Linked DNA regions of Nothobranchius furzeri. The protein of the gene in region 1 purifies or fractionates together with the protein of each later gene. This does not show direct contact. Links are inferred from orthologs where the notes say so. Each region holds a gene or a part of one and is shown in the gene's direction. Other genes may lie near its edges.

Region 1 (3,730 bases):
GCAACAATAAATCACTGCACGCATTAAATTCCTATATTTTTCCTGATTTGACCAGTATCTTGAATTTTATATCTTGTTTTATTCTAATTATCCACAGCAAAATGCAAAAACGTCCAGTAACTTTGAGTTTTAATTTACCATATCCGAGGTTACGCGAATTCATTCATTCGTTCGTTCGTTCGTTCATTTATTCATTCATTCATTCATAGAGCACCTTCCCGCTGCCAACCAAGGCAGCTCATAGCACTGAACACAATAATGTGATGCTGTACAAGTAGCAAAACAGAAAGTGATGCATCCTAATAAAAATCGAAAAGTACTACACATGAGCTCATGTTAAGTACAAAGGCAATACAAATTTAATACAGCTAAACACTGCATACAGATAAGAACTAACCCAAGTACATATGAAAAGGGGAGGCCGGTTGACACAGTGATCATAAAAACAATCAGACCAGAAATGCACTTCTGTGGAACATAAATCACATAATAATAATAATAATAATAGTAATAATAATAATAATAATAATAATAATAATAATAATAATAATAATAATAATAATAATAATCATCATCATCATAATCATCATCATCATCATAATAACTATTATTTATAATTATTATTATTACATTTATGTGTGTGTAATAATTACATTGTTGTTGTTTTATTTATTATTTTCATAAAAAACCAATAAACAAAAATTACTTACCGCTATTATGAATATAAATAACAAGCGGTCATTGTACATGTTTGAAATTTTGTTTCTGAAAATAAATATATGAAAATGCAGTCTGCGTGCCAACCAGCAGATGGTGGCAAACCTTCAGTAAAAATACTCAAACTCAACGAAGAAGAACATCACGTGACCCGTAGATACAGTTCACATGTGGGATGTTCATCTTCCACGTTTCTTTTGATTTGTAGGTTTTATTTACTTTTACACATAAAGAAGCAAAATGGCTTCCAGCTGTCGACGACCGGAACACTCAGCTCCTCCGGATGTGGTCAGTTTATCGTCTAACTCTTTATTAAACCTCTAATAGTTGATCTCTAAAGTCTGCAGTGTTTCTGTAGATTCGTTTTGTTTGAAAAAACACAAAACTCAAAATCTTATTGATTTGATTGTTGTTATTGCAGTTCTACAATGAAGATGAGGCAAAGAAATACTCTCAGAAGTAAGTCTGCATGTTTGGTAATGTAACATTTGTTGTGTTTTAATGTCAAACTTGATGAGTTCTTTACATTTTATCATTATTTGCTTATTTTACATATGTTAGTGCATGTTCTCTTGTCTTTAGCTACATTCTGACATTATTTAACATTTTTAGGACACTTAGAGGATTGATTAATTAGCTAATACGTTTATTATCGAATTTTGAAATCACAACTGCTGGTGATTTTGTGAGTTTGGATGGAGAGAAACACAGGAGAAGAATAATGACACATATTTAATCATTTTAAACGTATGTAGTATGTGGATTTTTGTCATCAACTCAGCACAGTGTTAGTGATTAGTTGCCATAAGTGATCTGAGGTTTGGTTTGTGTAAACATCTGATTGTGTTTCTTGACTCTCAGCTCGCGGATGATTGAGATCCAGTCCCAGATGTCAGAGAGAGCTGTGGAGCTCTTAAACCTGCCGGAGGGTCAGCCCTGCTTCCTGCTGGATGTTGGGTGAGCTGGTGATGCTGAGTTGTTCTGTCTCTCTAAATTTAGAACTAAAAGAAAGCCATGATCTCGCTCTAGTTCATTCAGAGGTTTGTTGTGTTTTTGTTGCATTGAAAAATGCATTTTTCAGTTAAGCCCAGTTGACTTTAGCGTCTGTTTAGTCGATATTCTATATTTGCTGAATGTCAGGATTGAAGGTCTGTTCTGTCCCTCAGATGTGGATCTGGTTTGAGTGGAGACCACCTGTCAGAGGAGGGACACTACTGGGTGGGAATGGACATCAGCACTGCGATGCTGGGTTGGTTAAACCATCTTGTATCTGAAAGGAAAACAGCCTAAAATATAAAATCTCAAGTCAATAAAATACCTAGAAATACGTTGAAAGCTTTATTTCAACAACTAATGCAAAAACAAACTTAGTGTACAAACCAAATTGTTTAGTTCAAGTTACTGAGATACTGAAATACTGTTCTAGTCCCGTGCATTTACTGATATTTATATTTGCTATATAATTTTCTGGAATTGTATTTTTTATTATAGTATCAGATATATTTTTTAAAAGTTTTGATTTGACCACAGGAGTTAATTAAAGGTTGACCATGTAGAAGAAGGAAACCTTACCACCAGATATGTATAATAAATAAAATGTACTTTTTTAACCGTACATAAAATTATTTTCTGCTCTTGTGAACACACAGAAGTACAGGTTATTTCTAGCGTAAGCAGAAATGTATTCAACACCTTTAATCAGGCGTTAATGACATGAATCACTGTTTTCTGTTTATTTCTAAATATAAAGGAAATTTACTTTTTATGCATATTATACAAAACTCTTTAATCCTACAGTTTTTATGTAAATCACTGACGATGTGATATTTTTTTCTAACCAGATGTGGCTCTGGACAGAGAAGTGGAAGGAGACCTCCTGTTGGGAGACATGGGCCATGGGATGCCTTTCCGACCGGGAACGTTTGACGGCTGCATCAGGTGAAGAACAAGGTCTGAAATAGTGTTGCTGGAGTTGGGATTTGTTTATTATTAAGTTAGATTCTTTCCCTTTCCTGTCAGTATTTCTGCACTGCAGTGGCTTTGTAATGCAGACAAAAGGTCACACAGCCCTCCAAGGAGACTCTACACATTCTTTAGTACTCTCTACTCATCTCTGGTGAGATTCTATCTGTGCACACGTACAATAATCCATAACTCTTACTTTATAATCAACTCTTTTAAATATTTTTTCTCTTTCAGGCACGGGGGTCCCGTGCAGTTTTTCAGCTTTATCCAGAAAACTCCGAACAGGTGCAACATTCTCCCTTTCTCCTCGTTTTGTCTTTGTGTGATTGAATCTGATGTCTTGTTTTCGTTCTCCTCTGAAGCTGGAGCTGATCACAGCTCAGGCCATGAGAGCAGGTTTCAGCGGAGGGATGGTGGTGGATTATCCCAACAGCAGCAAGGCTAAAAAGTCAGAAACTTTTATTCCGAAATGATCTCAGGTCGATTTCGGCTTAATAGTCTGTGAAATTAGCAGCAGCTGTAATAAACGATGGCGGCCATATTGATTTACAATGGATGGCTCATTATAATAATTCCCTCATTTTCTTCCAGGTTTTTCTTGTGTCTGTTTGCCGGAGTGACCGGAGTTCTTCCTAAAGTGAGAAGCACATGAGTTGTGATTTGTTTGTTTTATTTATTGTAGTTTTAAATGTTTGTGTTTTTGTTCATTTCAGGGTTTGGGGTCAGAAACGTCAGGCAGAACAGTTCCAAACCAGGTTCAGTATTCAGGACAAAGGTAAAGCTATTCAGCAGGCACATAGAGCTTAATTATAATAACAATAATAATGTTTACATGGTTGGATATGATGAATTAATACAGTTTTTCTGATGGTTTTATCAATTATTTTCCTTCTTGGGATTTTTAGTACATTTAGCTCATTTTGGATCGCTGCTATTAATGTTAGGATATTAAACATAACTTTATTTTAACAACCTTTCATTTGAAAGAATTTAAATATTTTGACCTTGATTGCATCTTTTTATTTTCAAGACAAAATGTTCACCTTCT
Region 2 (3,655 bases), on another chromosome or scaffold:
CAGGAACAGAGGTAGGTGTCCCGCTGCTGTGATGATCCGCCTCGTCAGTAGAGGAGGTTTGACCCGCCGCGTCTCCTCAGGCAGAGAGGAGCACGGAGGAGAAACCCCAGCAGGAGCCACAGACGCCGGTGGGGAACCAGGAGTGGCCCAGTGAGTTCCTGAGCGAAACGCCGGTGCTGTGCCAACAGAGTGGAGGGAAACCTGGAGTGACCTTCACCAGCGCCAAAGGGGAGGTGTTCTCGGTGCTGGAGTGGGCTCCAGGTGAGGTCACGGGTTCCTCACACGGGTGTGAAACCGTTAATCTACAGATCAACAAGAGCTCAGCTGTGTAAAGTTCACTTTCATCCGTTTCCTCACCAACAGACACTCACTCCTTTAAGAAAATGGAGTTTCAGCCGGCAGAGGCCAAGAAGTTTTTCAGCACAGTGAGGAAGGAGATGGCTCTGCTGGCAACGTCGCTGCCCGACGGCATCATGGTCAAGACCTTCGAGGACCGCATGGTGGGTTTTATCTGATCCGTACTGACACGCACGCACGCACGCACATTCACTCACGCACACGCACGCACGCACATTCACTCACGCACACGCACGCACGCACATTCACTCACGCACACACACACACATTCGCACACACACGCACACACACACACATTCACACACACACGCACACACACACACATTCACACGCACACGCACGCACGCACATTCACTCACGCACACGCACGCACGCACATTCACACACGCACACACACACATTCGCACACACACGCACACACACACACATTCACACGCACACACACGCATGCACATTCACACACGCACGCACGCACGCACGCACACACACACGCACGCACACTCACACGCACGCACGCACACACACACGCACGCACACACACGCACGCTCACACACACACACACACACACATTCACACACCCGCACGCACGCACACACACGCACACACATGCACACGCACGCACGCACGCATGCACGCACGCATGCACACACACACATGTGCACGCATGCACACGCACGCACGCACACACGCACACACACACGCACGCACGCACATTCACACACACACACGCACGCGCGCACGCACATTCGCACACACACACACACACACACGCACACGCATGCACACACCTGATGACGTAGATGTTTTTTTGTCCAATCACCAAAGATCTGTTTTGGTTTGCTTTAGAAGTGTTGCCATGACAACACACTTGTTTCTTCAGACTCATCAAACCAACAAAGTAGTTGGCCACAGTTAGGTTGTTTGGGCGGAACCAGGATGCAGCAGAACCTTCTGTTCATCTGGACCACATTCATAGACCAGATTAGGAAGCAGCCTGACGGTGCAGCCGTAGCTACAGATGTAGAGCTGGAGGATGACACAAATATAGTTTCTGGATCAGCACCGGCTCTGCTTCCGCTCGGCGTTAAGAGTGTGAGAAAACACTTGTGATTCTACTCGGGTAACCAGTGATCCACCAGCACCGGCATCTTTTGACCCCTAAAGAACAAGTGGGTGAGTTCTGCTCTTCCTGTGACACAGGACCTGTTTTCAGCTCTGATCAAAGGACCAACCAGAACCCCGTACGAGGACGGACTCTTCCTCTTCGACATCCAGCTGCCCAACATCTACCCGGCCGTGCCGCCGCTGTTCCGCTACCTGTCCCAGTGCAGCGGCCGCCTCAATCCCAACCTGTACGACAACGGCAAAGTCTGCGTCAGCCTGCTGGGAACCTGGATCGGAAAGGTGAGTGCTGTTGGGCCGTCCCAGCCAGTACTGGACCCAACCCAGTTCAACTCCCTGGTTCTGTCGTCCACAGGGGACTGAGAGGTGGACCAGCAAGTCCAGCCTGCTGCAAGTCCTCATCTCCATACAAGGTTAGACACACACACACACACACACGCACACACACACTCTCTCTCTTTCTCTCTTTTCTCTTTCTCTCTCTTTCTCTCTCTCTCTCTCTCTTTTTCTCTCTTTCTCTCTCTCTTTCTTTCTCTCTCTCTCTCTTTCTTTCTCTCTCTCTCTTTTCTCTTTCTCTCTCTCTCTCTTTCTCTCTCTCTCTTTTTCTCTCTTTCTCTCTCTCTTTTTCTCTCTTTCTTTCTCTCTCTCTCTCTTTCTTTCTCTCTCTCTCTTTTCTCTTTCTCTCTCTCTCTCTTTCTCTCTCTCTTTTCCTCTCTTTCTCTCTCTCTTTCTCTCTCTCTTTCTCTCTCTTTCTCTCACACACATACACCCACTCACACACACTCTCTCTTTCACTGTCACACTCACTCACTCACTCACTCTCACACACACACTCTCTCTCACGCTCACACACTCTCTCACTCTCTCTCTCTCTCTATCTCACACACACACACACACTCTCACACACTCTCTCACACACACACACACACACACACACACACACACACACACACACACACACACACACACACACAGCACTTCCTGGTTCTCCAGGTGTTTTAGGGTTTTTTCTGAGCCCGTGGTTCTGGCGGTTCCTCTGCAGGTCTGATCCTGGTCAACGAGCCGTACTACAACGAAGCCGGCTTCGACAGCGACCGGGGTCTGCAGGAGGGCTATGAGAACAGTCGCTGCTACAACGAGATGGCTCTCATCAAGATGGTCCAGTCCATGACGCAGCTCCTCCAGCATCCTGCGGAGGTCTTCAAGCAGGAGATCCGGGAGCACTTTGTGTCCAGCGGCTGGCGACTCGTGCACCGTCTGGAGGCGTGGCTGGAGCTGCACGACGCCGCTGAGCGAGGCCACTCGGCCTACTCCTCTTCCAGGAGCCACCACTTGAAAGACGAGCAGCAGCCTGCGGGCTCTGGACTGGTGGCTGTGGCCCACAGCAGTCCCAGTAAGCCCAGTGATGAGGCGGTGATGGGAGTTAGCAGTATTCTAGAGGAGGAGCTGGAGGATTCGGGGCTGAGTCCGTCCACCACTACAGCTCCTCAGGAGGAGCTGAGCCAGAACTCAGACGGTGACCTCACCCTGGGGGGTGAGGTCAAAGCTGGCTCTGTGGTCCGCACTGGGACGTCAGATTCTGGTTCCGTGTCCGCCAGCGTGGGGGGGGCGGGCTCCTCGGGGAGCCAGCCAGTGGTTCGACCAAAGAAAAGGAGGAAGAGTTACCGGAGTTTCCTCCCGGAGGGCAGCGGGTACCCGGACATCGGCTTCCCGCTCTTCCCGCTCTCCAAAGGGTTTGTGAAGAGCGTCCGCGGCGTGCTGCATCAGTACAAAGCCGCTCTGGCGGCCGCTGGCGTCCCAGAGCACACGGTGGACAAGTAAGTGCCTCCTCACCATCTTCTAACTGCTCCCTGACCTGTCCTCCTTCTCTTCTACCTTTTTCACCCGCCTCAAGTCACAGAGGAGGACCCATCAGCACTAGTCAGGGTGGGGTTCCAGTCTGGACCCCGCCCCGAGCTGCACGGTGCCCCAGCACTGCCCACACCTTTCCTCCACCTCCGTGTCTCCGCCTTTACTGCTCCTGCTGCCCTCCTCCGTAACATTCTGACTCCTCTCTCGATCAGCGCTGGACAGCAGCTCGGAAGCTTTGCTAATGTTTGTTTCTCTCCTTCAGTGATGACTCAGACGAGGGTGACGGATAACAGAGGTCCCCCCCCCCCCTCCCTCCCCCGCTCC
Region 3 (3,755 bases), on another chromosome or scaffold:
TTGCTCCTCCTGAATCTGAGATTCAACTATCGATCGGACCCTCCTCTCTAGTACCTTGGAGTAGACCTTTCCAGGGAGGCTGAGGAGTGTGAACCCCCTGGCGCCTGACAGTTTGCCAGAACCACTTTGGAGCCGATCGATAGTCTTTGTCCATGGCCTCACCAAACTCCTCCCACGCCCGAGATTTTGCCTCGGCAACTGCCACTGCTGCACCCCGCTTGGCTTGGAGACCCACAGACCAACCACGTTCTGTAGGTCTCCTTCTTCAGCCTGACAGCTCCCCGAACCTCTGGTTCAAAGCTTTCAGCAGCTTTCGGGACACCTCTGTGTTCCACCCGGTTTTACCCAGCGGTCAGATCAGCGTATCTCTGACTCAGAAGCTCTGGTGTTGTGCACAGTTAACTCCGGTTGTAGCTAGGTTGCTACCTCTGTTAGCTTAGCACCCACCTCCACGTTAGCTTTGGGTTAGTTTCAGGTTAGCTTGTAGCTAGTTCGACCGAGTGTCGTTAGTTGAGCCCAGCCTTACAGCCACACCCTCAGCTCCACCTCTCTTCCCTTTTGTGGAATTGTCTGGGCTTGACGGAACCCGTAACACGGTCAAAATGGCGGTGGTGGCAACCTCCCATTTAGCCTCAAAAACGTGTTATTGGAGTCTATGGAAATGAATTGTCCAGTATATATGTCGATGGCCCCAACCCCAGGCCTGGCTCCAGGGTGGGACCCCGGTAACCCTCCGGGCCGGGTACTCCGACTCCTTGATGGTTCATCCATGAAAGATCCTTTGAACCGTTCTTCGTCTCACCCTTCACCTAAGACCAATTTGTCATGGGAGACCCTACGAGGGGTACAAAGTGCCCCAGACAACATAGCTCCTAGGATCATTAGGGCACAAACTCCTCCACCACGATAAGGTGACGGTTCAAGGAGCTTGCAAAAAATCCTTATTGGTGCAATCTACACATCCAAACAGTTAATCAACTTTTAAGTTAGTAATAATTACAAGATGATCGACACAAAAATGTGGATTATTTTAAGTCATCCTTGTAGAGCTTTGGCATCCAATAAACCAAAAATATTAACATTTTCTTGAGCTATATTTACTAAGGTCTTTTAAGATGCTTCAAACCTAATCTTTTGACAGTGGCTACTTCTTCACACATACGAAGGCATAAATTGTACAATAGTTTAAGTTCATATTTAGTTACTATGTGATTTCTAGTGTGTCATTTGTAGTAGATCAACCTAGGAACCAACAGCAGCACATTGGGTTGTCTTCAGGGATCTTTTATGTGGTGCTTCAGCAGTACTTCCGGCCCACATGTAAAACAGTACAGCGTGATTTATCTGCAAATAATACATTATTATTCTGAGTGTTTCTAATATAATCTTGATTAAACACATCTGCGATCATGAAGCTGCTCACACACAACATGCTGACGTCTCACGTAAAGGGAGTCACGAAAGGATACCCGCTGCTCATAAAGGTAAACGGTGAACATCTGAGTAGCATAGCGGCTAATGCTAACACGAGTTTCACCGTGATACCCAGGCCTGTCTTCTTCTAAAAACAATGAAATACATTTGTAGATATCTCTTCTTCGTGTAAACAAACATTACTGAGTTAAAATGTTTTCTGTTAAAACATCCAGGAGGTAAATTTGTGTCATGACTGCATAAGCTTGCACGTAAATCCTAGAAAGTACGTGAAGACATACTTTACATGAAATTAAAGCAAATTAAGGGTTTTGTTTACTTTCAATTGCCGGTTGAGTTGATGTCAGTGGTTGCCTGATGTGACAGCAGAGTCCACCTGACAGCCTGTGTTTTCTCCTAATGCTGTTTGTTCAGGCCACCGAGGTGAAGGTGAACGATGTAGACTTCAACCCTCAGTTTGTCTGCAGGATGATCCCCAAACTGGAGTGGAGTGCTCTGGTCGAGGCTGCAGATCTGGTGAGTAAACAGGTTTCTCCTTAAGCTAACCCACGGAGAGCCTCCACCTGCAGCTGTATGCATGCAGACATTTAATACTACACAGATTTATCATACATTTGGTTTTCTTCCTCTTCATAGTTGGGTCATCGACAAGATCTACCGAGTGAGCTGGTGCCAGACTACGAGAAAAATGAGGACTTCCTGAAGAAAGTGCACAGAGCTCTGTTGGAGGTAAAGGTCTCACTGACCTCCTCGTTCCTGTCACCCACATTTAAAAACATTTCAGTTGCAGAACCTGTTTTTCTCTTTAGTATTGACAAAGCGATACAGCCATAAAGTACTCTTAAACAAACTGTTGGAGTCTGGTTGTGTGTATTCAGTCACACTTAATTTTGGACTCAATGGTGCTTTTGTGTTACTGGCTGCAGAAATCTCAGCAGAGCTCCATTTTTATCCTCTAATGAATTCCATGACTTCAGCGCATCCGTTTGGCTCAGGATGGCGTTATGTGGAGGTCTACCGTTGGGACTGAAGAAGTTTTATACTTTTCTAGCTCACTTTAAACTATATCCTCTGCAAAACATTACACAGACACACTTTTACTCTAATTATGATCTTGGTGCGTTATAACTGGAGGGATTTTCTTAGAGGTTTTGGCTGCAGAAGTTTTCTCTTGTACTGCAAAGTTGTAAACACTTTGTTTTCCACAATGTGGTTCCATTGTTTCACAGATGACTTCCTGTGTGACCAACAGGATGATGGCATGTAAAACCACATTAACATGACCAACAGGATGATGGCATGTAAAACCACATTAACACAGATTAGTGCAACACAAAAATTAGCCTTAAAGGGGACTTATATTTTTCTTAAGTTATAATAGTTCAATAGTTGATACAAAGCATGTTTATGAAGTTCATTTCACTACATTCCTCTAACATAAAGCAATTTCAGCAGTTTTAATTTTGGCAGTTTCAGTACCTTCCAGAATGAGCCGTTTCAGGGTCAGAGTCTTTTTAAGGTGCTGGCGATACCCACCCATCTCCTGCTCCTGCTGCTATAAGCTGAAAAGCTTCAATTCCTGGTAGAGGCTTGGAGGAAAGCCGCTTTGATCTCCAAATCTGTAAATGTGTCCTAAATTAAACATTTTTCCGCTGCCATGGCTTCCCCATTTCTAAAATGCTCTTGGTTCAAAGTTTGCTTAAAGTTGTCACATATTTCCATCAAGTGTTTCTTCATAAATCACAAAGTTTTTGTGGAAACACGCAGTTTTCAGACCCCCGCTTTGTCCGTAGGCAAACTTTATTAATGAGGCCCCTGGTCTTTTTCAGGGATCAGAATGACCCAAACCAACCAACATCCCTCAAACGTGCACCGAAAAGCAATACATATTAGTATCTAGATTAAACTCTATAGCAGCTGTCCCCAACTCCCTTACCCGAGGGTCGGCGTCCAGCACGTTTTACTGTTTCCCTGCTTCAACACACCTGGTTTTAATCAGCAGGTGATTAACGGGTTTCTGCAGAGCCTGATGAGCTGCTGAATTGGTGAATCAAATGTTCTGGATTAGGGAAACAACTAAAACATGCTGGATACCGGCCCTCGGGAAAGGGAGTTGGGGATCACTGCTCGACAGGAAAAACTTTCTAAATGTGTAACCTGCTGGAGACTTTTACATCCCTGCTTGTAGTCTTTTAATGTGGTTGCATTATGTTAGGAAAGAAGCTGTAAACCCACCCACTGGGATCTGAGGTGGCTAAACTTTTGTTTTAGTCTCTTTTATGGTTTCAGCTCAGCCGGAACTAGCACTATAACCCTAACAT

The links.
Region 2: the proteins of bud23 (region 1) and ube2o purify together in Homo sapiens (affinity purification with mass spectrometry; 5 studies listed by BioGRID and IntAct, counting the BioPlex papers as one, with this or other methods). This does not show direct contact. The link is inferred for Nothobranchius furzeri from reciprocal best matches to the Homo sapiens genes BUD23 and UBE2O.
Region 3: the proteins of bud23 (region 1) and trmt112 purify together in Homo sapiens (affinity purification with mass spectrometry; 5 studies listed by BioGRID and IntAct, counting the BioPlex papers as one, with this or other methods). This does not show direct contact. The link is inferred for Nothobranchius furzeri from reciprocal best matches to the Homo sapiens genes BUD23 and TRMT112.

What each region holds. Positions count from the first base shown.
Region 1 is NC_091753.1:42,315,752-42,319,481, forward strand, and holds the start of bud23 (18S rRNA (guanine-N(7))-methyltransferase), read left to right. Parts: upstream 1-846; 5' UTR 847-957; coding exon 958-1,005; intron 1,006-1,138; coding exon 1,139-1,176; intron 1,177-1,578; coding exon 1,579-1,674; intron 1,675-1,883; coding exon 1,884-1,966; intron 1,967-2,558; coding exon 2,559-2,655; intron 2,656-2,736; coding exon 2,737-2,833; intron 2,834-2,916; coding exon 2,917-2,967; intron 2,968-3,044; coding exon 3,045-3,130; intron 3,131-3,273; coding exon 3,274-3,319; intron 3,320-3,395; coding exon 3,396-3,457; intron 3,458-3,730.
Region 2 is NC_091747.1:74,395,192-74,398,846, reverse strand, and holds part of ube2o ((E3-independent) E2 ubiquitin-conjugating enzyme), read left to right. Parts: coding exon 1-11; intron 12-80; coding exon 81-261; intron 262-363; coding exon 364-500; intron 501-1,558; coding exon 1,559-1,762; intron 1,763-1,835; coding exon 1,836-1,893; intron 1,894-2,522; coding exon 2,523-3,297; coding exon of another isoform or gene 3,298-3,301; exon of another isoform or gene 3,302-3,440; intron 3,441-3,593; coding exon 3,594-3,621; 3' UTR 3,622-3,655. UniProt on the Homo sapiens protein: E2/E3 hybrid ubiquitin-protein ligase that displays both E2 and E3 ligase activities and mediates monoubiquitination of target proteins. Negatively regulates TRAF6-mediated NF-kappa-B activation independently of its E2 activity.
Region 3 is NC_091741.1:88,070,266-88,074,020, reverse strand, and holds the start of trmt112 (multifunctional methyltransferase subunit TRM112-like protein), read left to right. Parts: upstream 1-1,281; 5' UTR 1,282-1,409; coding exon 1,410-1,484; intron 1,485-1,848; coding exon 1,849-1,950; intron 1,951-2,070; coding exon 2,071-2,163; intron 2,164-3,755. UniProt on the Homo sapiens protein: Acts as an activator of both rRNA/tRNA and protein methyltransferases. Together with methyltransferase BUD23, methylates the N(7) position of a guanine in 18S rRNA.